Sus scrofa: one gene and its partners. The main gene of each other region encodes a partner of the protein of the gene in region 5 in a complex. Links are inferred from orthologs where the notes say so. Each region holds a gene or a part of one and is shown on either strand. Other genes may lie near its edges.

Region 1 (4,292 bases), on a different chromosome or scaffold from region 5:
TGGCTCTGGCGTAGGCCGGCGGCTATAGCTCCAACTAGACCCCTAGCCTGGGAACCTCCATATGCCGCGGGAGCGGCCCAAGAAATGGCAAAAAAAAAAAAAAAAAAAAAAAAAAAAAAAAAACCAAATTACTCCTATGATCATTATTTCTTCAGACTGGCATTTTTTACAATGCCAGAGAATATTAAAAAGAGAGAGAGAGAAAGAGGTCCTGTGGTCAAAAACACCAGTAAAATTATGTACAATAGGTATCTTGACTTGTCAAGAGTTTTAATATGCTAATATTCATTGTGAATCTTTAAGAGTGGCATTTGCATACATTTCCCAAAGATATTTGACCTTGGAACTTTTTTCCAGGGACCATCTGGGGGCAAGTATTCTGAACATTATTCAGTCATTAATTAATCACTTGTTAATGTGTAACAGCCAGTATTTTCCTTCCTACTTTTGAACCCACAGAGATTTCCAAATTGGAGATTCCAGCAGTAGGTAAAATATGGTAACACAAATTTCTGGGAATTTTACATGGTCACCACTAGATGGCGGTTTCACCTCTACTTTTTCTTTTTTGTTTACTCTATAAACGAGGCACTTATTTTTTCTAACGTGGATTCTCTTCCATTTGTTCAGATGGTGACATTATAAAGCACTGGCCAACTATTTTTGAACTACTCACTAGAAAAAGTAATATTCAGCATCATATATGTTCTACTCTGCATGCCCTAAGACTACAATAATATCAGGTATAGTTAATAAAGCTAATTAATAAATTACACATTAGAGTTAATAGAATTCCAAACTCAAATAGACCTTAATGATAATTTGGTCCAATCCCTGTAAATAACAAATGAACGTGAGCATAAGAGTTTAAGTAGCACATACCAGGTCAAGGTGCTGATGGCCATTTAAAATTACAACACGGTTGATTTCATGCCTGTCTTTTCTTCTTTAAATGCTGACAAGACTTGTCACTAAAACTGCTAGCTTTTGTTCAAACAGCAATTGCTTCTATTCCATGGAAGAGTTCCCCTGTGGGGCAGCTGGTTAAAACTCCTACGTTGTCACTGCAGCGGCTTGGGTCACATCTGTGGCGCTTGTTCAATCCCTGGCAGGGGAGCATGCCACAGGCCTAGCCAAGAAAAGAAAGAAGAAATGCATGTGATGTGTCTACCAGAGACTTAAGAATTTAGAGCTCAACAAGTGATAATTACAGTAATCTGCTCATTAATTTAAAAACATTTAAAGTTCCCTCACTACTGTGGATGCATAAAATAATCTTCAGTATTTACTTAGGAGAGTAAAGAAGGAACCCCCCTTAAACACTTCAGAACCACTAGTACCAGGAACTAAATTCCTGGTCTTCATTATTCCACCCGAGCCTTAACCTTAGGACAACCAGCGAGTTAGCTCATGCGCAGCTTCGCCCCCTAAACCCAGCCTCTTGCCCATCTCCGCGCCAAAGGCGCCCGCCCACTTGTGCGCCTGCGCTGTGACCTAGACTTGGCGCATGCGCCGGGCAGGACGGGCCGGATTGAAAACTATGGCGTGGGTACCTGCAGAGGCTGCGGTGGAAGAGTTGATGCCCCAGCTGTTGCCAGTGGAGCCCTGCGACTTGACAGAAGGTTTCGATCCCAGCGTACCTCCGAGGACTCCTCAGGAATACCTGAGGCGGGTCCAGTGAGTGATTAGACCCTGTGCGGTGGGCTGGTGGTTCTCCCTGCGCACAGCGCCCAGTGCCTCGCCCCACCACCAAATTTGATAAAGCCCTGTCTCTGATCCCGTCTCCAGTTTAGGACCGGATCAAGATCCCTTCATTGCATCTATGAACTTAATTTTGCTAAACGTGATTACTCGTGAGAAGATAACGTGAACTTAAATTTCTTTGCTTTCAGTCCAGATAATTTCAGAAATATATCGTTTAGTACCTCAATTGCAATTCTGAACTTTTTTTTTCTGATTTTGTAATGAACTGTAGAAGTGGATCGCTTGTTTTAATGCGCATGAACAACAGTAATCACGTTTCTTGCATTTATTATTTGTTTGTAGGATCGAAGCAGCTCAATGTCCAGATGTTGTGGTAGCTCAAATTGACCCAAAGAAGTTGAAAAGGAAGCAAAGTGTAAATGTTTCTGTGAGTTTTATTACCCGTCAGGGGATTTCCCACTCCCAACTACAAATTAAAAGACCAAGGCTCTTAGTATAGTATCAGATAGTATCAGGCAGTATCAGTTAAGATTTGACTACTCTGTAGTAAGTTAGTAAATTAGACATTTGCTTGTACTTTGTCCCCTAAAAGGACAGATTCCATTTACTGCTTCCATAGAGGCTTTTGGTAACCCTAGCATTCATGGAGATTTGCTCATAATACTTTAAGAAGATGATCAAATCCTAAAGGAGGCTTTAAATAAGTTACTTACGCTATCCTTTATTTTTAAGGTATCTTTTTGCACTTCTTCATAATTATTATTGGGCTGATATTTAACTTTAATGTAGTTTGCATGTTCTGAATTTGACTGGCTTTTGTTTTTTAAAAATTTGAAATCAAAATATCTTACACTTTTCTAGGTATTTTGCCACTGTAAACCTTTTCATTTGTTTATCCAGCACACTTTTTACAAAGCAACTCTGTTGTGCTAGACACTGGAAATACAACAGAGGATGAAACAAAAAATATGTCCCTACCCTTGTAGAGTTTACATTCTCCTGAGAAAGAAGAAAAGCAAACAATTTAATTGCGTATTTTGACTCTTGCTGTGAAGAAAGTTAACATAATGACCAATAAGTAACAGGGATTAGCAGCAGAAGGTCTCCTTAAGGAGGTGCTATTTAACCCACAGTGGAAGGAGAGGATTCAATTTGTTTTTAAATTGTAATAATTCCTTTTCCTTTTATGTTCTAAGTAATTCCTTTATCTCATGTTTATAATCAGGAGATTTTAATTCAGACACTATAGTTTTCATGTAATTCCTTTTCAGAAGTTTTTAGTTGCTGGAAGATGATACCTTATATATCTGGCTTTTAAAAAATGACCATACTAGGAGTTCCCATTGTGGCTCAGTGGTAACAGACCTGACTAGGAGGTCATGGGTTCAATCCCTGACCTAGCTCAGTGGGTTAAAGGATCTGGCATTGCTGTGAGTTGTGGTCTATGTCACATATGTGGCTTGGATTCAGCATTGCTGTGCCTGTGGGGTAGGCCAGCAGCTACAGCTCCAGTTTGACCCCTAACATGGGACCTTCCATATGCCATGGATGCAGGCCTAAAAAGACAAAAAAAAAAAAAAAAAAAAAAAAAAGACCATACTAAGTTTTATTTCAAGGCAATATGTGATCATTTATCACCTATGTGCTATTTTGGGAAACAGAAGTAGACCTTGTAAAGTCAAAAGTCTTAAATTACTTGAGTACATTCTACTCATACCAAGATTCTTTTTTTGGAATATATCTCTCTTTTTGTTTCAGACTGTTTTGCTGTTATAGAAAAGTAGGGCTAGATTATATCTTCAGGGCTCGTATGATTTGTTTTTTTTTTTTTTTTTTTTTTTTTGTCTGTTTTAGGGCTGCACCCGCAGCATATAGAGGTTCCCAGGCTAGGGGTCCAATCGGAGCTGTAGTTGCCAGCCTTTGCCACAGCCACAGTAGAAAGTAGTATTCCTACTTTTATTAGCTCAGACATAATTTTAAGCTCTTTAGTAGATATGTTATTGATGGACTAGTAGATAAAAGAGGGTGTTGGGGGAGGCTAGGGGTCCAATCAGAGCTGTAGTTGCCAACCTACACCACAGCTCACGGCAATGCTGGATCCTTAACCCACTGTGCAAGGCCAGGGATCAAACCCACAAGCTCATGGATGCTCGTCAGGTTCATTAACCACTGAGCCACGACTGGAACTCTTGGATTTCTTAATACATATAATATATACATAAATATATAAACTATAAGCCATTCCATATTGCTCTTACTAAAGTGATCATATAAGGGGTCTTTTCCTAATGTCTTATGTCTCAGACATAAATAGTAAAGAGAATTCCCTTTTTTACATCTGAAAAAAAATTTATAGAAATTTATTTCTTGTGTAGTCTTATTTGCTTTATTATTCATTTTTCGTCTTGATTCTGCTTTTACTTTGCAGAAGCATGAGATTCTAGTTATAACACTAACATTGATTCTGACATTTATGAACTGATCTCTAGCTTTCAGGATGCCAACCTGCGCCTGAAGGATATTCCCCTACACTTCAGTGGCAACAACAACAGGTGGCACAGTTTTCAACTGTTCGGCAGGTAAGTGTA
Region 2 (3,500 bases), on a different chromosome or scaffold from region 5:
TCCACTAGCTCATTTGTTTCATTTGTTGAAAATTTTTTACTCCCTTTTTCCCAGAGAAAAGGGAAAAAAAGAAGTAAAAAATTATTATACCTCTTGGGTCAGCTTATAAATGCATATTAAAGTAGCTGGGCACACTTAGCACTTAGTATTACAAAAATTCACCCAATGATTACAAGCTCAATGATGTTGCTTCATTCTACCACAGGATTATGGTATTCTAAAATATGATCCCCTTTTTTCTTTCTTCTTGTATATAATTTTCTTTTCTTTTTTTTTTCAATTCCTTCAGTAACTTTGTTTTTCTTATAACCTATCAGGTTTTATTTTGTCTTATTACTACAGGCATCTTATCTCTTCTCTGACATAGTACTAAGATCCTTGAAATAAGAATCATATAAAATTCTTCTGGACACTCAGTTAGGCAAAGAGTTGGTGACTAAACAAATGGTTGTTGAATGAACAGTAGCTGTACAATTAAGTGCCAACTTAATGAGTGAAGTTCAAATTCTAACACAGTGTACATTTTCCCATCAAGAATACCTTTCCTTGTTCTAATTATGACTATGGGATCTTCTCCCTATCACTTATTCAACTTTAACGGATGCTACGAAAAATACATCCTGACAGAATAATCACGTCTCACGTCCCTACTAGAGAGACTGCTGATAGCTACTCCCTCACGAAACGGCAGTTACTGAGAGGCTCATATGCCACCAAACAACTGGTATATGTGAATATGGGTGTGTGTGCCCATATGTGTACACAGAGAAGATGAAAATGCTCCCAGCCATCACTATTAAAAAACACTGTGATTTTGGGTTGTTAATATCATTCACAGTGATATTTCTTACACTCATATATTATTTACTTAGCTGATGATCCCATGTCACATTAATATAACCTGAAAGACAGCCATTATAGTAAAAGTTTGCTACACATCTCATTTAAAAGTATGTTTCCTACATAGGAAAAGTATGGCTATGTTATACTTAATCTATTTCAGAATAACAGGGGATTAGCCAAGAAGAACAAATATATTGACCCATCTACTTACGCTCCAAGGAAGTGAATCAGTATATAAAAGGTGAGCAAACATCTTAGCAACATTTCTCAATTTGTTTGTTTCCAAGCGATGGATGGTATCATATTGTTCTTTGAATATACTTTCGAAGGATTCCATGTATTCTTTTTTTAGCATACAAAATCGCTAATAAATTAAGAAAAAGTCAATACCATTATTAAAGCCTTCTAGATTTATTCAATCAAAAGATAATCAATATTTTGTATATCATATAACCTTTTTGTGCTGTATAATGGGATGCTCAAAAAGTAAGATAATACGTATTATCCCTAGGTACTTGGGGTTTATATGCTAAAACAAAATTATACATGTAGCCGATCACAGACATACACATTTGCATAAAATAAACTTCTCTGTGAGTAGAGTTTGGATTCTAAAAAGTATTTTAGCTCATCCTTTACTGTGCTGCCTGAACATGTACTTGACTTCAGAAACTGCTGTGAAATTGTGAAAAGACAGCATTTAATTGTTCTCTTTGGGAAACTGTCAAAAAGCATGTGGAATTTCCCAAAGCCCTGGAAGAGTGATATGTAATGTTACGGCACTACAAAAATAAAGTGGGACAGGAGGAAGCTGCAGAGAGTGGGGAACCTGAGGGGTGAACAATTTGTTTTCAGGAAAGATATGTTATTACATTAGACTAGACCATAAAGCAGACACATTAATTCACAACACTCATGTTAAGAATTCCCTTTGTGATTTCATCACAATCCAACAAGAAAAATGATGTTGGAACTCACCCCAGCTAATAAGCCAAAAAATTTCTCATATGTCCTCTGTTGGGCACAGCAATCAAGTATCATGTTGCAGAGTTCTTTCTATTTGGAAAAAAAATTACATTAATGATTCAAAGCACAATGAATCCATGCTGTATAATAATTTATCAATATGACAGAGATAGCCTGAACTTTAAAGTAAGGTTTTCAAAACACAAAACTTCCACAACTTTATGAACTTTAGTTATGAGGACAAAATAAAAAAAATCAATCTATGTCAAGGCTATAGTCTTTTAAAGGCTTCTGTTTGGCTGACAGAAATTTCAGTCATCTATGCTAATTACATCAATTATAAAATTCTAAATTTGGAGTTCCCATTGTGGCGCAGTGGTTAACGAATCCGACTAGGAACCATGAGGTTGTGGGTTCGGTCCCTGCCCTTGTTCAGTGGGTTAACGATCCGGCGTTGCCGTGAGCTGTGATGTAGGTCACAGACGTGGCTCGGATCCCACGTTGCTGTGGCTCTGGCGTAGGCCTGTGGCTACAGCTCCGATTCGACCCCTAGCCTAGGAACCTCCATGTGCCGCGGGAGCGGCCCAAGAAATAGCAAAAAAGGACAAAAAAACAAAAAAACAAAAAAATTCTAAATTTGTATAAGCATGAACTACTTCAAGAAAACCTCGTATATGAAAGAGATACACCAAAAAGAGACTAAATATACTGTATTCTAAAAAGATTCTATCCCAGTAGGGCCTCCAAAAATAAGTTAATTATGTAAATAAATAAAACAAAAGTAAAAAGATTTTATAAATATGTCTTTTAAATACAGATTAACAATATGACATCTAACAATTCAGTTATACACCTTTTGAAGATTTAAACCCAATTATTAATGAATATATTTTGTTAGTATGGAAAAGACAGATCATAATGAGTCTTTACAGAGGCATAAATGGACACAACTTCAATGCTGAGTTAAATGACCCTCTGGATGATAAAGAAGAAAATATATTTAAAAGAACAAAATAAATGTTATGAATATAGATCTGTCAATAGATGGATCTATACAAAGAGATGGAGTCATTAAACTCCTGTTATAACACAATGTCTAATCAGTTATTTATGTGCTTTGAAAAAATTACTTTGTGAAAATTCTATTGACCTAAGAAGTGCAAGAATAAATCCAAGATTAGGAAATACCATCATCACAAATGATTTACACTTAATATTATTTACTAATTCCTGAAATAATCCTAATGAAATATGTATTGATTATAGCAATTTCATAGATGAGGAAACTCAGACATATGAACAAATCAATGGAAACAAAACTAAAAAAAGGCACAAATTCATTCTCTGACCACTAAATATCTGTAGACTTGACTAAATATCTTTTTCTACAAAACATTTCTTATCAAAAGTTTAAAATTATTTTTTCTAAATACAGTAACTGCAATTTATTTGTGCTTTTTACAAATAGAAATCTATAAAATATAATGTATATCATTTCAGTTCATTTTTACTTTTAATTTTACTTTCATATTTTTAACTACAAATTTTGACATCTTTGTCACTTAATAACATGAGATACAACTTAAGTAACTATTGCAAATTTTTAAAAATTAGGTCAATGTTTATTTATCGCATACATCTTTGTAACAAAGATATTATGGAAAAATACAGAATAGACATTCTAGAACTGT
Region 3 (4,155 bases), on a different chromosome or scaffold from region 5:
TAGAAAACTTCCATTGACCAAACATCAATTAACCAAGAGAATGAGCACTAAAGCCAAAGAAAGCAAGGATTACCACCAATTCCACTTAAAATTTTCATCATTAAAGATCAGCCAAGGAGTCCCCACTGTGGCACAGTGAGTTAAGAATCCTCTCACTGCAGCTGCTCGGGTTTTGAACAAGTGCATGTTTGATCCCCTGCCCCACACAGTGAGTTAAAAGAGCTGCAGCCGGCTCGGATTCAATCTCTGGCCCAGAAACTTCCATATGCAGTGGGCCATTAAAAAAAAAAAAAAGAGGAGTTCCCATCGTGGCGCAGCGGAAACGAATCTGACTAGGAACCATGAGGTTGCGGGTTCGATCCCTGGCCTTGCTCAGTGGGTTAAGGATCTGGCGTTGCTGCGGGCTGTGGTATAGGTCACAGACTCGGCTCGGACCTGGCATTGCTGTGGCTGTGGTGTAGGCCGGCGGCTACAGCTCCAATTCGAAGCCTAGCCTGGGAACCTCCATATGCCGTGGGTGTGGCCCTAAAAAGGACAGAAGAGACAAAAAAAAGAAAAAGAAAAGAGACCAGCCAAGACAACACGCCAGTGTAACAACTCTAACACTTGCAAAGGCATCAAGTGCACAGTTGTTTGCATTTTTCACATGCCCCTCACTGCTGGCACTATCCCACGAGTAGCTGACATAAGAGCACCCGCCACCCCAAGCCACTCATCACAGATGCCAAGAGCACACTGCTGAAGCTGGGCGGCCCTTCTGGACACTGGCCAGGGAGCCCCAGTCACCTCATCATAGTTGGTGTCATTCAGATCCTCATCGTCGTCATCTGCGGCCTGGCTCTTCTTCATCTGGTCCCCGACGGTCCTCTTGCCCGGGGGCGCGTGGCGGTCATCCACGGGATCATTGGCATCCCGGGCAGGCCCAATGTCTGACCGGGTGGTGAAGCCAGTGGCACTGCAGGAGACCCCAAGACGCCCACTTATCTGAGTGGCCTTGTTTCTGTGCTTTTCCCTCCACAGGCGTCACCTGATGACACCTACTTTTCCAACTGCTCTGGGAAACCTCCAAAGATCCCGTGAACTCCCCACAGTGCCGTGTGTGCAGGGAACCCCACACAGCCGTGCTCTCCAACGTCGCCGTCCGTCCGCTTCAGGACAGGAAGCTGAGGAGGCTACCAAGGCTCTCTCCTGCCACCCCCGTTCTCCGGGAGAGGGCTTCGCCAGGGCACCAGCCTCCCATTCCCAACACCTGCTAGGCATCTCCCTCTCCCACTCCACCCGGGCCTTCCAACGCAGCTCGGCCCAGGCAGAGCTCCCCTTCCGCACCGGCCCTGCAGCGGCAGCTCTGGGCTGTTTCAGCGGGTGGTGGCAGTGCCGTCCCAGGCACCATGGCATTGGCTCGGCCTCCCTCTCCCTCCCACCCGCCTCCAAGCTCTACAGGGTCTCCCCCCAGAACCCATGCTCCTGAGACCATGACTCCCATCCCATCTCGTTAGGAAGCAAGCTACCCCCCTGCATGGAGCTTCCCTAGCTTCAACACAGCTCCGACCGCAGCCTCTACGCAGCAAGGCTCTCATTCAGATTTGAAGGAGGAAACGAAAGCTTTACAGGCAAGCAAAAGCTAAGAGAATTCAGCACCACTAAACCAGCTTTACAACGAATACTAAAGGAACCTCTCTAGGTAGAAGGAGACCATAACCAGAAACAAAACTATGACGAGTGACGGGGCTCACCGGCAAAGACAAACACGTGAGAAAGGGAGAAGGTCAGCCACACACAAACAGGCCACCAAACCCAGAAATCGGGAGCAGAGGAGGGTACAAAGGCAGGATGCTGGGGATGCACTGGCAATGAAGAGACCAACAGCTTACAACAACCCTGTGTATACAAAGACTCCTATATCAAAACTTCACGGTAACTGCAAACCAAAAATCTACAAGAGATACACACAGAAATAAGAAAAAGCAACCCAAAAACAACACTGAAGACAGTCATCAAACCACAAAAGAAGATAATAACTGCTCAATTCCTCAGCAATAAACGGCCGTCATCTGATCTAGGGGACCCAGTCACAAGCCTCACAGATGCCACCCCTGCCCGCGGAGAGCTGACTCTGAACAGGCAGTACTGTGACCACCGACACCGCAGCGGAAGAACGAGCAACCCTGAGCGAGCACACAGAGGACCCCGGCCGGACGGTGGGGGAATCAGTCCCGTTCAAGGCAGGGGTTGGGGGGGGGCGATGCCTGGCCTGGGGGGTAGTAGCCACGGTGCTCAACTACAAGCACTGCACACTCGCAAGACGGCGTTACCACCCGCCTCTCAGCACAAACACCGGGCTCAGAGCGCCCCGGTGTCCCGTCTCCTGGGGAGGCAGCCTCGCTCGGGTCTGTCCGAACCCAGGACGCCGTTCTTCCCACAAAGACCTGGCCAACCCTGCGCCACCGCTGCTCTCGTCCTCCCCGCCCCGACCCGCCGCCTCACTGAGACGTGTGGGCAGTCGCGACGCGACCACGGTCCCGCCCGGGGCTCCACCCCAGCGCGCGGCCCGCCCCAGGCCTCACCCCCGGCCCAGCCCGGGCACGTAGCCGAGCGGAGCGGGCATGCCCAAGAACGGCTTCTTCTTCTTGTTCATCGCGGCTGTGACGCCGACGGCCGGGAAGGGAAAGGACGGAGGCTGCGGCCGGAGGCCAAAGACGACAGACGACCGAAGCGCCGCCGCAGGAAGAGCTCGCGCGCCCGCGTCACCCGCGCCCCGGAAGCAGAGCGCGCGAACCGACAGATCCCCGCCCACCTCGGCGGCCCCGACCGGAAGTTCCCTAAAGGCGACTTCCGCCCGCTTCCGGCGGCTCCTTGACTCCGAGACCGAGACGCGATAGGCGCATGCGCGGGGGGCGCCTGCTCGTGTAGCTGCGGGCGGGCGGGCGGTGTCACCCTCGATTAGCCCTCGATTAGCAGTCTGCACACGGGGGAACCTCAAACCTTGAGCCGGGGCGGCCCTGCTAACTGCGTGTACTCGATGCATTTCCGATACCTGCCTGTATGGGCAGGACCTATGGGTCCCCCGCCTCCCGGATCCGCCCTCCCTGCCCCCCGCCCAGTCGCCCTGGCCCCGGGGCAGGGCCTAACACAGCTCCGGGGGCTGCACACCCAGCCAGTTGTGTAGAGCTTATGCGGAGTGTATGTGTTGTGATCGCGTGTCCCCGGGTGCAGACTGCTTCCCTGGCTCTCCGCGCTCAGATTTCTGGACCCGATCCGGCAGCGCCGGTACCTGTACAGGCCCCCACCCCCACCATACCCTGAACATTCAGGTGCTTCTGGTGAGGGTGGGAGCCCAGATCCTAGGGAGCTAATTGATGAGCATAAATAAATGCACCAGGACAAGTTAGTATGCGGGCATGAGTGGTCACAGCATGTGGGTGAATTCCGTGTGTCCGTGGGCACAGGTGCAAGTCAAGCCACCTGTGCTCATATTTTAGGTGAATATGCATGACCGTCCTTGGCATACATGTCTGTGTGTCCATGTGCACGTTTGCTGAGGTGGCTGTGGGACATCCTCTGGCCCCCACATTCACCTGGGGAGAGCCCTCAGGCTCTAGGCAAAGCAAGCAAAAAGCTGGCCACATGTTTAGCCTTCTGCTGGACCAGGCAGCCCCCAGCCCACCCTAACCTTTCTCACTGGGGTCCTGGAGCAAACATAGCTCTCCTGCCTGCTGCAGCCTTCTCAGAGTTTCTCCCTCCTCCTTGCCCCCAGCCGAATCCCTTTCAGCACCACGCCCTGGACGCTGAGTCAGATTCTGGGTCTCCAGAGGGGAGGGGAGAGACCCTGCTGTCCTCCAGAAGTTTGCGGTGTTGTGGGGAATAAGAAAGGGTCGAACTGACTTCTCTGGGGAAACGAGTGCCCGTTGGACAGGGAGACCACTGGAGAGGTCTGGAGATGACGTGAATAAAGGAATAAGTAAACTGACATAGGAGAATGGGTTAGGTCTGGCCCTTGACCTGGCCCCCAGTGGACAGAAGCTCCCCGGAGCAGGTACACTACCCTCTCCCCTCCACACACGCACTCTTATGTCCCTGACTCAGATGCTCCTGCAGACCTCTGGATCTCCTGCCGGTGCACAGAGTCCCTTGTCCTTGCACGCCCAGGTGCGCACT
Region 4 (4,021 bases), on a different chromosome or scaffold from region 5:
TAGTTCCTAGTCGGATTCATTTCTGCTGCACTGCTACACGAACTCCCAAGATAGATTCTTTTTATACATGTTGGATATCTCCCCAGGACTCTCATAGTCGCTTTGAATTCATCAGTTTTCCAGCAGCAGACAATCACTCATGCAGTTTAAGTGATTTATTGATGTCTCAGCTCTGGTTTGTTAGGGTTTCAGGACATTTCCCCCAGCAAGGTCTTTTAAGAAGCCCCATTCCCTACCAGAGGAACCATGCTACTTCATTCTGTGTGACACTCTGTCCTCCCTAACCGGCTTCGTTTTTCTTCAGTTCTTCCACTTTGGCAACATAGAGCCTCATGGCGTCCATCTTGGACATCCCTTTGTTCCCATTCCATGCCTCCCACTTGGCCTTGGCTTTCACATCAGTGGCTGAAGGGGCAGGGATGTTGCAGTCGCCCTGAGTGGCTTGTTTGTAGAAGCTGTACACCAGCAATTTCTCCTTATCACTCACTGGCCCCTTCAACTGCTTGATGGCAGCGCAGGCCATCTCAAACTCCACTTGGCACATTGGGAGAGCTGAGGCTGGGCCCCTCTGTCTTTTCTAGATGTTATCTGGCGCTGGAAGCTGTTGGATGGAAAGTTAGAAACACTTGAGGTTGGTGATTAAGTCTGAGAAGGAGGGAAAGGGAGAAAGGGAGACAGGGCAATGTGTGGGAAGAACATAGAATACTTGTTTCCTCAGTGGGAAATCAAATGTGTTTTCATAGATTGCAAATCAGGCCCTATTGAATTAGATCTGCCCAAGTATTTTGGCTCATTTTATAAGGAGGAGGTCAATTCATTGACGTTTCAAAGGCGTCTTTGATGCCAGAAAATGATGGAGCAGCTATTGCTGTCTGAAGGCGGACTGCTGAGGGGCCAGGGGGTTCTGAGAGAGACCCTCTGCGGAGGAGGAAGCCTTTCAGGGCATGGTGCGCCTGTGCAAGTTAGTGGGCGGCTTGGGGAGGGGCGTTCAGTGAGGGTGAGCCGTGTGCGACAGATCAGCGGATAACTGCATGCGGGAGAACGCGGGGCTACGATGTAACTAGCGGGTGGGACTCACTAGGGCCCAGGGAGAAGGAGCCTGAGAGCACAGACGCTTGGCGAGGCGGAGCCAGGACTGGGAGGGGCGGGCGCCTTGGGGGCGGGGCCTGGGGAGAGGAAGGGGCGGGGCTCGCCGTGGGGACGGAAGCGTGGGTACTTGCCTGTTGGCTGCGTCGAGGGCTGGGGCCGATAGGGGGCGCTGTGGGCCTGGCGGTCCCGACGCCGCGGACACGCTGAGCGACAGAGGTCGGCGGAGAAACCGCGTGGAACCCGAGCTGAGACTGAGGGCGGGGGCCGACACGCGGCCCATTGTCCCGCCCCCCGGCGCCTGCCATTGTGCTGTGACGCCTGCGCCGCCCTTGCTCCCGGGCGGGAGAGGGGTGGCTCGCGCCGCCGCCAGGCCGCCAGCATCGCCGCCATGGACCTAGGTGGGTGTTTGGCTCCCCTGTCCCGGGCCCGCGAGAGCCGCGTCCCCCAACCGGCGACCACGCAGTGCTGAGCGGGTCCTGGCTGAGGGAGACCTCCGGGTCAGGGAGGGGTTTGAGAGGGCGGGGGTGTCCCGGAGACCGGGGTCGGAGCGGCCGGGCTCCAGCCCCGGCCCCGCGGCGTCTCGGCCCGCCTCTTGCCGACTGCGGGCCAAGCGGATGTGAAGTTAGCGTTCCCGGGAGCGGACGGGTTCGGGCACGTGCTTAGGAAAAGGTCGGGCGAGGAGGATGCCCCGGGGGATCCCTGATGCCCCGGCGGTTTCATTTATTGGACGTTTAGTAAGTTCCTGAACAAGTTTCTTACGGTCTTGAGGTCTTCATAGATAAAACGTGGTGACGATATCGTATCCGCCTCAGAGAGTTTGGGGAAGTTTTCACCGAGGTCGCTTGTGTACAGTGTCCGGTCGGGTACCTGGCGCAGAGCTAGCGTTTTTCACACCGGCAGTTGTGGGGACCGTTTGTAGCAGCGGAGGTGGCTCGTGCATCTGGATTCCTCAGAGTCAAAGTCTGGGAGCGGGGAGCTAGTCTAAATCGGCGGCTCCTTGCCCTGCCCCCCCCCCCCCCAACCTGGACGTGCTTTTAAGGGCATTAGACCAGGAGACTTCTGGGAGAGCTGGGGTGAGGCTTTCCAAGATGTGCCGGTATTGGGCTGTAGAGAAGCGTTCAGGTCGCTGTCCCCAGCAGCGGGGGAGGGTAGAGTAGGAAGAGTTTGGAGCCCTGCAGCTGTGGTGATCTGTCCCAGCCCCACCGCTTTGTAGTTCCCGCATCCTGGGCAGCTTGTTTCAGTCCTAAATGTTTCCACCTCCAAAACAGGAACGGTCTTCAAAAGGTTGAAGATTAAAAGAGATCTTAACACACCAACTAGCACAGTGCCTGGTACCGAGTAAGCCCTTAATATTAACATAAGGAGTGGGTGATCACAAGCACCAGTTAACCTGTAGTGAAAAAACAGTTTGGGATTTGCCCAGCCATTCACTGCTTCTGAGACTTACTCCTTCAGGTAGCACATGTACTTACTGTCTCTTGAAAGTTGGTCTCAGGACCAAACATCTCAGCTGAGCAGATAATGCAGTAAAATTACATTGACAGTCAGAAGGGAGCATATTTCGGGTCCCTGGGAGAGCAGCCTGAGCCAGAAAGAAGGGCCAGCAACCCCCAGGGAGACCCCTCAGCAGCCTAACCCTCCCCCAGGTCTGCCTCGGGCACTGGGCCCCAGGGTGGATTCCTTCACGGGTAGGTCACCTAGGAGTGCTGCTCCCTTAAGCAGAGTCTCCTGGAATCGAGATTCTCTCTGCTGACTCCCGGCCTGTGAAAGTGGGGAAGATGTGTTCTTGGGGGCATGAAGGACTGAGGAAGGGGCACTAGGGAAGGGGAGAGGGGTCGGGGGTGAGCCGTATTCATGCTCTTGATTTCGTTTCGGGGCCAGAGAAGATATACTTGAGAGAGACCCATGTCCTTTGCTTTTTCTGAGCTGGAGGAGGCAAAGAAGAGAGACAATTCATCGGGTCCTGCCAACAGTGGAGAGGTTTGAGGGAACCAGTGTTTAGTGAGCCCTTAATCAGGCTCTTTGTAGCCAGAGTCTGATTGTAGCTGTGTCTTACTTGACCCTCAGCAGCCCTGGGAGATGAGATCAGAAGCCAGTAGTGCCCAGGGCTTGACTGGCATGTCCTCTTTGGTCTTCGCAGTCCTAATGTGAAGTTGGTATTATCCCCACGTAAGCAGAAGGGCAGCTCAGAGAAGTATTTTGTCCAAGATCATACCACTTTTAAATGGCTGAGCTAGGATTTAAACCCATGTCTAATTAAACATCCCAAGATGTCTTCCTTGCTAAGTTCTTCAAGGCTCACTGGAGGAAGGACTTTTTTTTTAAGGGCCCCACCTGAGGCATATGCAGATTCCCAGCCTAGGGGTAGCCGCCAGCCTACACCACAGCCACAGCAATGCTGGATCCTTAACCCACTGAGCAAGGCCAGGGATCGAACCCGAGTCCTCATGGATACTAGTCAGGTTCGTTAACCACTGAGCCATGGCGGGAGCCCCTGCAGTGGCTCTTTGACCCCTTCTTCCCCCTCTCCTACTGGTTTCATTTAAACCCCTTATCTCTAAGGCGAATCACGACAGCCCCCGATTAAGTGCCGTCTTTCCCTCTGACCTCTGCTTGCTGTTCTGAACATTTTTACCACATTCCGTCCTGTTCGGCTTGTGTCTGTGCAGGACCTTTGAATATCTGTGAAGAAATGACTATTCTGCACGGGGGCTTCTTGCTGGCCGAGCAGCTCTTCCACCCCAAAGCTCTGGCAGAACTGACCAAGTCTGACTGGGAGCACGTCGGGCGGCCCATCGTGGAGGCTCTGAGGGAGATCTCCGCGGCCACGGCGCACTCCCAGCCCCTCGCCTGGAAGAAGAAGGCCCTGATCATCATCTGGGCCAAGGTTCTTCAGCCCTACCCCGCCACCCCTTCCGACACCGAAGCTCGG
Region 5 (4,291 bases):
GATGCTAGTCAGGGTCTAAACCCACTGAGCCACTATAGGAACTCCCCGACCCAATATTCAATGACAGAATCTTACGACCAAAACAGAAAAACAAAGATTTTGTTATATTTTGGTTATTTTAAAAACCAAACAAAGTTGTGAAGAAATCAGAAGGTAATCAAACCATATCCAATCCAATGGATATTTTATTTTATATTTGAGACAATACATAGTGTTTTATTTAATATTAAGCAACAATCTTAAATGTTCAGGATATTCTCCAACACCCAAGTATACTTTAGCAAAATAAATGCATATTGAAATTTTAAATAATTTGAATTAAGCAACAAAATTCCATATCAGCAGGGTAGTATGAGAATATGAAGCCAAGGGCGTTCCCGTCATGGCTCAGCAGAAGTGAATCTAACGAGTATCCATGAGGATGCAGGTTGGACCCTGACCTCACTCAGTGGTTAAGGATCTGGCATTGCCATGAGTTGTGGTGTAGCTCACAGACACAGCTCCGATCTGGTGTGGCTGTGGTTTAGGCCAGGGGCTACAGCTACAGCTCCCATTCGACCCCCCACCTGTGAACCTCCATATGCCGTGCGTGCAGCCCTAAAGACAAAAAGAATATGAAGCCAACAAGTCAAACCAGTTTTTACCTCTTTGCTGTAGGCTAGAAAATATGAAACTTCATTCAATTTTAATGTATATCATGGAGAATTCAAAGATAAATAAGACATGAGGCCTGAAGAAGGTGTAAGAAGACAGGTTTTTACAAATAAAAATATATAGTATGACATGTAAAACAATCAATTTTACTAGGATGTTATAAAAAAACACAAATATAACACATATGAACTTATTTTATTTAATCCTTATGAAAGCTTTTTAAGTTATGCATTGTTATTACCACCAATTAACAGATGGGGAACCAAGGCCCAGAAAGGTTAAGTAAAATTTCCAAAGTCACTCAGCAGTGAAAAAGTTTGAGCAAAATCAAATGGTTCAGTTTGGCCCAAGAACATGGTACTCAAATATTAGCGTGTGTAATATTTGGTGCTTGGATTTCAAATGGAGGAGCGTTACTGCTGGTTCAAGAAGTCTGGACTTTATTATGCAGATGGCAATAAGTTACTGCAGCAGTATCAGGCATGGCTAAGATTACTGAAGCATGTGTAAATCAATCCATTACGCTGTACATCTTGAACTTACGTAGTGCTGTAGGTCAATTTTATCTCAAAAAAACTGGGGGAAAAAAAAGACTACTTTGGCAATGATTTTTAAGAGGGGTAGGAAGAATATGATTGGGCCAGGGTATCTCAACCTTGGCATACTGACATCTGGGACCAGATAATTCTGTTGTTGAGTGATGTCCAGTGCACTGTAGAATATTTAGCAGGAACCCTGGCCTCTACCTACTAAATGCTGGTAGAACCAGACTCTCTACACCACAGTTAAGAACCACAGAATTATATTAAAAGCAGACGGAAGATATAAAAATGCAAAAAAAAAAAAAGATTTCGGGCCTCGTGGGTGGCATGCGGAAGTTCCTGGGCTAGGGACTGAACTTGAACCACAGCAGTGCCATGTTGGATCCTTAACCGGCTGAGCCACGAGGGAACTCCAAAAAAAGATGGTAAGGAAGAAAAAGTTAAAAGTCATTTTGGAGGTAGACCTGGCAGGATCTCACAATTATTGAAATCTACATATAAGAAAAGAAAGGTAATTAAAAACTCTCATTAATATCTTAAGAATCAAAAAGGAAATCTTACCAAGAACACCCCCCCAACAAAAGAGCCTTCTCTAATTAGAGAAAAATGAATGTTCTCACGCATTCCAGTTAACAGAGCAAAATATCACACATTCAAGTTCAACCTAAGTGCAAGAAATTAAGAAAAAAGAACGGGATTTCTTTTTTTTTTTTTGTCTTTTTGCTATTTCTTTGGGCCGCTCCCGCGGCATATGGAGGTTCCCAGGCTAGGGGCTGAATCGGAGCTGTAGCCACTGGCCTACACCAGAGCCACAGAAACGCGGGATCCGAGCCGAGTCTGCAACCTACACCACAGCTCACGGCAACGCCGGATCCTTAACCCACTGAGCAAGGGCAGGGACCGAACCCGCCACCTCATGGTTTCTAATCGGATTCGTTAACCACTGCGCCACGACGGGAACTCCCAAGAACGGGATTTCTAAGTTAAAGCTCAAAGGAACCACCAACACACTAAGATGAAGGCAGCTTTTGAATTTCTCATATACCATCAAAACAATTCCATTCCATCCACCTCCTTAGTTCCTTACAGAATTACTGTCCAACCACCTTATCTCGAACGTGATGCTACTCAAGGCGTTCAGCTAACTGTGGTATTCAAGATCTTTAAGTAACGAAGGATCGAGTGCCAGAGACCCGGCCAGGAACTCCGGCCTGGGAGGCAAACCTGCAGACGGAGGGGCCTTTACGTCTTTGAAAAGCATGCCCACCAGGCCGAAATACAACATTTGCGCGGGATGCAGGCCCGGAAACGTGGGACGGTGGCCCGGATCGCGGCGGCAGCCAGTGGCAATAAGCACGGCAGACACACTCTCCGGAAATGGCTGGGGATCCAAGGAACTCAAGGCCTACAAAGAAGCCGCCATTTATGCGCGGCCCTCATGCATACTTACTTCTTCAACTCCGGCGGGTGAGCTTTGCTCATGATGCCTACTCCGCGAACTCAAAGAAACCTCCAAACGGAATTCGTGTTCTCCCTCACGCTCCAGCGGTAGGCCCGGTGCTTTGCGTCTGACGTCACTGATCCCGTTAGCCAATTGATTGTTGGCCGCTTTCACGTTTCACGTCGCGATACTTAGGAAAATCCTGAGCTCGCAGATCAGTCCCAAGCTTCCGTTGTGTCGCCAGGGATTGGCTAGAGCGGAGGGGTGGGGCCTCCAGTCTTTATATTCCTCTTTGTAATTGGGTTGCTGTTCCTGCCTCTAGCATTTGAAGGACGCTGGTTAACTCATTGTCTTTGTGGGTTGCAAAGTTGTCTTGACGCTACCAGATGAAAATAAGCTCTGGAGGGGTAGGCTCCTAAAAATTTCTTTGGCATGTGTGTGCATACTTCCATGTGTTGTTCTTCCCTTTGTTGTCCTCTGCAAACACTGCGGTTTTTTTTTTTTTGGTCTTTTTAGGACCGAACCCTCCGCATATGGAAGTTCCCAGGCTGTGGGTCAAATCTGCGCTGCAGCTGCTGGCTTTTGCCATAGACAAAGCAACGCTGGATTCTTAACCTACTGAGCGAGGCCAGGAATCAAACTAGTATCCTCATGGATACTAGTCCGGTTCTTAACTCCCTGAGCCACATCGGGAACTCGTTTTTTTTTTTTTTTTAATTTAGCAAATTGAAGGTTTGAGGCAGCCCAGAGTCCAGCAAATCTCCCAGCGCCATTTTCCCAAGAGCATTTGTTCACTTTGTGTCTGTGTCATTTTGATAATTCTTACAGTATTTCAAATTTTTTCATTACTGTATTCGTTATGGTGATCTATGATAGGTAATCACACTAAGAAAAAAAAAATCTTGTGACTTGCTTTGAGGTATTTGCTTCACTGTTGAACCTGTGGTATTTTAGTATTCCCACAGGATGTCATGCTACAACTAAGGTTCTAGTAACAGCTCAGTTAACGACCTCTGCACCAAAGGAATAGAGTGAGGGGGCCTCAGTTTCCAAAAATTTTAATCTAGAGGAGTTCCCGTCGTGGCGCAGTGGTTAACGAATCCGACTAGGAACCGTGAGGTTGCGGGTTCGGTCCCTGCCCCTGCTCAGTGGGTTAACGATCCGGCGTTGCCGTGAGCTGTGGTGTAGGTTGCAGACATGGCTCGGATCCCGCGTTGCTGTGGCTCTGGCGTAGGCCGGTGGCAACAGCTCCGATTCGACCCCTAGCCTGGGAACCTCCATATGCCGCGGGAGCGGCCCAAAGAAATAGCAAAAAGACAAAAAAAAAAAAAAAAAAAAAAAAAATTTTAATCTAGAGGTCATAAGTATATTCCCCACGGACAGTCCTGCAATGCTTCCAAAACCCCACTTAACTGTACCTTGCCCCTCTATATAAAGTATGAAGAGCAGCACACAGATGATTTCTAAAATATTGATTTTCAAGTCGAAAGGTGTAAAAAATGGTCTGATTTGATCCTAGTTAAGTTTCCCAAAAGAGGAGCAGCCCACATTTATGAATCAAGAACAATAGGGATTATAGAAGACTTAGGCCAAAACGGAAAAGCATTGGTTGTACAACTGGGCAGCAGAAACTGACAGAACATTGTAAATAAAC
Region 6 (3,224 bases), on a different chromosome or scaffold from region 5:
GCCGCTCCCGCGGCATATGGAGGTTCCCAGGCTAGGGGTTGAATCGGAGCTGTAGCCACCGGCCTACGCCAGAGCCACAGCAACGCGGGATCTGAGCCACGTCTGCAACCTACACCACAGCTCACGGCAACGCCGGATCGTTAACCCACTGAGCAAGGGCAGGGACCGAACCCGCATCCTCATGGTTCCTAGTCGGATTCGTTAACCACTGCGCCACGACGGGAACTCCCTATACACAAATTCTTTTTGTTTTTGTTTTTAAATGTGCTTTTATGGAATAAAAAATGATTTGTCATTTTACATTTTGTTTTTTTTTCTCCCCAACCTCTTTTCCTTTTAGGTTAAAAATTTTGCAGTTATTTATCTTGTGGATATCACAGAAGTACCTGACTTCAACAAAATGTATGAATTATATGATCCGTGTACTGTCATGTTTTTCTTCAGGTATGTTCTCTTAAAGTTGTTATTTAAATTGAATAGATGGTCTGGAAGTTTAATGTAATCAAGATATCTTTAGATTCTTTTCTTTAGGAGGAGGTCAGTTATGCACTCATATCATAATATGGTTTGTGTCACCAGGCAATCAGTGTGATCTTTTAAATAATTTTCAAAGTAGCAATTACAGATTTAGCATTTACAGTAACACATTACCCTTTTGAAATAACTGCCCAGAAAACTAAATGAAGTGTAATTAAGTGGAAGATGTTCTTATTGACATTTCAGATACCTTTAAGTATAATATGTTGATGAAAAAATGTTTAAAATAACTGACTTTTTAAATATGATATCAATGACTTTATTTAGTGTCCTTTTGTGATAGCCAGAAGGAAAACCTTTACTTAATTACTTTGCTTAGAAATACAAGATTATTTTATCAGCTGAAAAATTCTGTTGCTGGAGTTCCTTTTGTGGCCCAGTAGTAATGAACCCAACTGCAAGTTCAGTCCGTGGCCCAACTCATTGGGGTAAACATCTGGCGTTGCCATGAGCTGTGGTATAGGTCACGGACGTGACTTGGATCTGGCACTGCTTGTGGCTGCGGCATAGGCCAGTAGCTGTAGCTCCAGTTCTATCCCTGACCTCACTGTAGCTCCAGTTCTGTCCCTGGCCTGGGAACTTCCATGTGCTGTGGGTGCAGCCCTAAAAACAAAACAAGACAAAAACTCTTTTGTGGACTTTAATCAGTCAGTTACTGACTCAAGGAATAGAATTTCCCTAATCGCCTTAAATTAATTTGTATCCATGATTTACAAACTTTGCATGAAAGGAGAACATAGAGTGGCTACTGGTTAGGTACATGGGTGTCCAATGCAGATGCAAATACGTTTGATTGGGGTTTATAAAGTTAAGTAGCATCACAAGTGAAAAAAAATTCTCTTGTGGACATTTAATTTGGAAAGAATCACCATTTCACAGTTTTTACTTGTCAAAATTTCTTACTGTTGGAGTACCCATTGTGGCTTAGCAGAAATGAATCTGACTAGTTTACATGAGGATGCGGGTTCAATCCCTGGCCTCACTCAGTGGGTCAGGGATCTGGCATTGCCGTGAGCTGTAGTGTAGGTCACAGATGCAGCTGGAATCCTGCGTTGCTATGGCTATGGTGGTGTACGCCAGCAACTGTAGCTCCAATTCGATCCCTAGCCTGGGAACTTCCATATGTCTAGGGGGTGGCCCTAAAAAGAAAAAAAATTCTTAGTTTATTGTTACTACAAAAGTTAGTAAATAGCAACATAAACATTAGGCCATACTCCAGAGGTAGAGCTTCACAATTAGAGAAGTTCTGGGTAGAGTATATAGGGTGTAGATTAGCTTTCTGTTCTGTTTGACAGTGTGCCCAAACTTGGTGGCTGAAAACAACACCATTTATGAGCCCAAGGTCTGTAGGTCACAGTCCAGGCAGGCTCACTGGGTTCTGTCTTGGGGTCTCAAGGCCATAGTCACAGGCTGGGCTTTTAGCCAGGCAGTCAGTCAGGGGGGAATCTACTTGGCTCTTGGGGACTATTGGCTGAATCCAGTTTCCAGTTCTGGGTGGACATGGGAATGAGGTGTCTTTCCACCTGGGCCCCTCTGTGCTCCTAGAGGCCCCTCCAGCTTTGAAGCCCTCAACCAAGAGTTGAGTCATTTTTACACAGTTGCTCTAACTTCCTGTTCTGCTTTCAGAGGGCACACTTGATGGATTAGACTGTATAATTCTGGGGCATCTCCTTATTTTAAAGTCAACTGGTGGGTACTTGTAGGGATACCTGCAGAATTCCCTTTGAAGTGCAGTGTAACTGATCGGAGGCATGATGTCATCTCATAGTCCTGAGGATTAGAGCAGGAAATAGCAGAGGTTATTTTAGGATTCTGCCTACTGCAGTCTGCCCTTTGGCTCACAAAGATTCAGATCCCTCTCGTATGCAAAACTGAGTGTGGATGAGGCTTCTCTGGGTGACCCATTAAGCCCAGCTCCTGGACACTCTTTCTCTGTGGCCCCTCCCCAGGATACAGTGTGGGACAGGCATAGGGAACAGTCTGGGTTCACCAGGAGCAGGGCTTTGATGCAGGGCTAGGATCATCCTCTTGGTCCAATGCCTGCCCTCGGGAGGGTTCTCCCCAGCCTTTTCTGCCTTTTTCATGAATGGCATTTCAGCTGGCTTATTTTTCAGCCTGCTTCCTGCCAGCAGCATGAAGTTGTAGTGCTTCCCCTCGGCCTGAGCAGGTAGAGTCTGTCCTGGGTGCCAGAGCTTGCTGGTTGCTTCCTGGGAGAAGATCCTGTCCTTTGAACATTCTGACCTTTAGGTCTTTTCCAGGTTTCAGTAGGTTATGTGGCTTCTGTGTCAAGAGTTCAGCACCCATTTCTGGATTTCAGCATCTTTTGCTATTTGGAGAGGCTGAGAATTTGTTGTTGTTGTTGTTGACAGTTTTTACAACCAGTTTCTCTCTTCTTTTACTATAAGGCCTAGGAAACCAGGCAGTGCCTTCAAGACTTTACTTCTGTGTTCTCAGCTCTTATCCACATGCATCGCTTACAAGTGTCACAGACATTCTGCCACTGTGTAGCAAAGATCCCTTTCCTCCACTCCCTGGAACATGTCCCTAACTCCTTGCAAGTCCATATTTCTACTAACAGGCTATTTAAGGCAATCCAGGCCTTTTCTGTTATGCTTCTCAAAGTTCTCCAAAAGTCCTCCAGGTGGGAATATGGGTGCCGCCTTAGATCCTGCTTCTCACTGCATGTG
Region 7 (2,538 bases), on a different chromosome or scaffold from region 5:
GCTGGCAGCTATAGCTCTGATTTGATCCTTAGCCTGGGAACATCAATATGCAGCAAATATGGACTCAAAAAGTGAAAGAAAGAAAAAATTTCTCCACCACTGGCCTGTGTTCTGAAGCATGAGGACCTTATACCAGAAACTAGATCTAGCTTAAATACCACTAATTACGTCATTGATTTAGTGATTGAGGATGATTTAGAAACAGCTGTGCCTAAAGCTCTGCCTTCCTTTGATTTTTTTTTTTCTTCCCTTGTTGATTTTGTATCTTAGGCCATTTAACAGGGAAAAGGAATCTCTGACAAAGGTTGACAATAACCTTTTTGAGAATCCAGTTACCTGGAGCAACCAGAGAAATTCCACCCGAGACAAGACAAAACATTTTTACCTTCAAACCAAAGTTTTGGGACTTTTGGGACAAACGGGGACCCTGGGATTCCTGGCTGCTCTGCAAAGTGGTGCTAACATCTCCATTCATAGCTCAGTATACCACTTTCGATCTGTTCATTTTACCAAGTCTTTGAGTTGTTTTTTTATTATATACATACTAACTTATGGTAAACACTGGGTTTGTTTCTAGTCTCCCTTCTGGTCCATCCAGCTGTGCCCTGTCCCTGCCCCAGGGCTGCACTGAAAGTGGAGGGCTGAATCATGACCTCCCCACCTTCGCGAAAGCTGGCTTTTCACACTGTACGGGGTTGGTAAGAGCCAGCAGATGGGAGTGTGTCCACAGGTCAGTCTTCATCCGAGTCGCTGGGGCCCACATACTGGCAGATGGCATCATAGTGAAGCTCCACCACCTGATTTTCTCTCCGCAGCTGCACCAGCGCCCGGCTCCGCTCTCTGTCCCGTTCCAGCAGACGGCCCACCTAGGGTCGGGGCAGGTGGGGTCAGCAAGGCCAACCCAGACTCTGGGACATTGCGTGCACACCCCCACCCCCATTCCCCGGTCTGGGACTCACCCTTCCAGCCCGTGGCCCCAGCACCACCATCACCCGGTGGCCCTCGACCTTGGGGACCAGGGTCTCCAGCATGTCTTCCCTCAGGCCTGCAGACAAGGAGAGGGGAGTGAAGCCCACAGCAAGGGCCAGCCCAGCCAAGGTCCTGTCAGAAGGGCCTTTCTTGGAGTTCCCGTTGTGGCACAGTGGTTAACGAATCCAACTAGGAACCGTGAGGTTGCGGGTTCGATCCCTGGCCCTGCTCAGTGGGTGAAGGATCCGGTGTTGCCGTGAGCTGTTGTGTGGGTTGCAGACGAAGCTCGGATCCCGCGTTGCTGTGGCGTTGGCCAGCAGCAACTGCTCCGATTGGACCCCTAGCCTTGGAACCTCCATATGGTGTGAGAGTGGCCCTAGAAAAAGCCAAAAAAAAAAAAAAAAAAAAAACCAAAAAAAGAAGGGCCTTTCCTGTATTCCCTGGAGCCGCTCTGTACCTGTCGACAGATAGGAGTCTCCCACATTCATTTCACAGGTGACAAAACCTAAGGAGCAGATTCTGGCAATAGTTCTAATAAAGGGAGAATTTATCTCTGATGATGATGGTTGGGGGTGATCACAGACACCATTTATTGAGGGCACATTGTATGACCTGCCCTGCACGGGGAGCCCAAGACATTTCCCGACAAGGCACCGGCACAAGAGGGAGAAACAGGTTATCTCCATGTTAATATTACCGACGGGGAAAGTGGGGCTCAGATAGTCACCATCACAGAAGCATCTAGGGTTGTGTTAGAGGATGCTGAGGCTTGCAAAAAAAAAAAAAAAAAAAAAAAACAAAAACGAACTGTGGCAGTTCCCGTTGTGGCTCAGTGGTTAACAAACCCGACTAGTATCCATGAGGACTCGGGTTCAATCCCTGGCCTCGCTCAGTGAGTTGGGGATGCAGCATTGCCACGAGCTGTGGCGTAGGGCACAGACGCAGCTCGGTTCCCGTGTTGCTGTGGCTGTGATGTAGGCTGGCAGCTATAGGTCCAATTTGACCCCTAGCCTGGAAGCTCCATATACCACAGGTGCGGCCCTAAAAAGACCAAAACAAAACAAAACAAACTCTGCCCAACCTCCCAGCCTTTGCCAGGGCCACGCTTGCCTAAGATGGCCCTCTGAATCAGCCTCCAGGATGATAATGACCCAATGGCCATCCCTAAAACTCACCTTCTAGGACCTGGCCCTCATCTGTCCGACACACACAGGTATCTGGGCTCAGGACATCTTCAATTGTCATCTGGGGAGAGGGTCGGGGATACATGAGGAAGTCAGACAGCTAAGGGGGCCGAGTCCCTGGAGGAGGAAGCAGACGCAGGTGCGGGGCTCCCACCTTGGTATTGTAATACTGGCCACCCTTGTGCTGCTTGTCCACAAACCGCACGCGCAGGTCCCTGTGCAGCCAGTGCTGGCTCCTGGGGGCTGCTTTCTCACTCTTGGCTGCAGGCCCATCTGGTCTGTGGGGAGGGGCCAACACCAGACTTAGCTCTCCACCAGAGGCACGGATGTTCCAGTTGCCCCACCTTTGCCGATGCTATGAAACCCACCCATGATGCCGTTGCTA

What was found.
Region 1: SNRPG (region 5) and GEMIN2 share a complex: the UniProt entries of both Homo sapiens proteins name them as parts of the SMN-Sm complex. The link is inferred for Sus scrofa from reciprocal best matches to the Homo sapiens genes SNRPG and GEMIN2.
Region 2: SNRPG (region 5) and CWC22 share a complex: the UniProt entries of both Homo sapiens proteins name them as parts of the minor spliceosome. The link is inferred for Sus scrofa from reciprocal best matches to the Homo sapiens genes SNRPG and CWC22.
Region 3: SNRPG (region 5) and PRPF6 share a complex: the UniProt entries of both Homo sapiens proteins name them as parts of the U4/U6-U5 tri-snRNP complex. The link is inferred for Sus scrofa from reciprocal best matches to the Homo sapiens genes SNRPG and PRPF6.
Region 4: SNRPG (region 5) and GEMIN4 share a complex: the UniProt entries of both Homo sapiens proteins name them as parts of the SMN-Sm complex. The link is inferred for Sus scrofa from reciprocal best matches to the Homo sapiens genes SNRPG and GEMIN4.
Region 6: SNRPG (region 5) and TXNL4A share a complex: the UniProt entries of both Homo sapiens proteins name them as parts of the U4/U6-U5 tri-snRNP complex. The link is inferred for Sus scrofa from reciprocal best matches to the Homo sapiens genes SNRPG and TXNL4A.
Region 7: SNRPG (region 5) and GPKOW share a complex: the UniProt entries of both Homo sapiens proteins name them as parts of the minor spliceosome. The link is inferred for Sus scrofa from reciprocal best matches to the Homo sapiens genes SNRPG and GPKOW.

Annotation. Positions count from the first base shown.
Region 1 is NC_010443.5:169,674,660-169,678,951, forward strand, and holds the start of GEMIN2 (gem-associated protein 2), read left to right. Parts: upstream 1-1,492; 5' UTR 1,493-1,507; coding exon 1,508-1,677; intron 1,678-2,046; coding exon 2,047-2,131; intron 2,132-4,193; coding exon 4,194-4,283; intron 4,284-4,292. UniProt on the Homo sapiens protein: The SMN complex catalyzes the assembly of small nuclear ribonucleoproteins (snRNPs), the building blocks of the spliceosome, and thereby plays an important role in the splicing of cellular pre-mRNAs.
Region 2 is NC_010457.5:85,550,338-85,553,837, forward strand, and holds part of CWC22 (pre-mRNA-splicing factor CWC22 homolog), read right to left. Parts: intron 1,900-3,500; coding exon 1,822-1,899; intron 1,208-1,821; coding exon 1,055-1,207; intron 1-1,054. UniProt on the Homo sapiens protein: Required for pre-mRNA splicing as component of the spliceosome. As a component of the minor spliceosome, involved in the splicing of U12-type introns in pre-mRNAs. Promotes exon-junction complex (EJC) assembly.
Region 3 is NC_010459.5:62,814,154-62,818,308, reverse strand, and holds the start of PRPF6 (pre-mRNA-processing factor 6), read right to left. Parts: upstream 2,801-4,155; 5' UTR 2,636-2,800; coding exon 2,565-2,635; intron 1,383-2,564; exon of another isoform or gene 1,042-1,382; intron 956-1,041; coding exon 787-955; intron 1-786. UniProt on the Homo sapiens protein: Involved in pre-mRNA splicing as component of the U4/U6-U5 tri-snRNP complex, one of the building blocks of the spliceosome.
Region 4 is NC_010454.4:47,108,137-47,112,157, forward strand, and holds the start of GEMIN4 (gem-associated protein 4), read left to right. Parts: upstream 1-1,221; 5' UTR 1,222-1,477; coding exon 1,478-1,487; intron 1,488-1,493; exon of another isoform or gene 1,494-1,823; intron 1,824-3,758; coding exon 3,759-4,021. UniProt on the Homo sapiens protein: The SMN complex catalyzes the assembly of small nuclear ribonucleoproteins (snRNPs), the building blocks of the spliceosome, and thereby plays an important role in the splicing of cellular pre-mRNAs.
Region 5 is NC_010445.4:72,197,231-72,201,521, reverse strand, and holds the start of SNRPG (small nuclear ribonucleoprotein G), read right to left. Parts: upstream 2,801-4,291; 5' UTR 2,679-2,800; coding exon 2,647-2,678; intron 1-2,646. UniProt on the Homo sapiens protein: Plays a role in pre-mRNA splicing as a core component of the spliceosomal U1, U2, U4 and U5 small nuclear ribonucleoproteins (snRNPs), the building blocks of the spliceosome.
Region 6 is NC_010448.4:127,977,889-127,981,112, reverse strand, and holds part of TXNL4A (thioredoxin-like protein 4A), read left to right. Parts: intron 1-340; coding exon 341-444; intron 445-3,224. UniProt on the Homo sapiens protein: Plays a role in pre-mRNA splicing as component of the U5 snRNP and U4/U6-U5 tri-snRNP complexes that are involved in spliceosome assembly, and as component of the precatalytic spliceosome (spliceosome B complex).
Region 7 is NC_010461.5:43,176,764-43,179,301, forward strand, and holds the end of GPKOW (G patch domain and KOW motifs-containing protein), read right to left. Parts: intron 2,432-2,538; coding exon 2,308-2,431; intron 2,215-2,307; coding exon 2,145-2,214; intron 1,046-2,144; coding exon 960-1,045; intron 867-959; coding exon 732-866; 3' UTR 501-731; downstream 1-500. UniProt on the Homo sapiens protein: RNA-binding protein involved in pre-mRNA splicing. As a component of the minor spliceosome, involved in the splicing of U12-type introns in pre-mRNAs.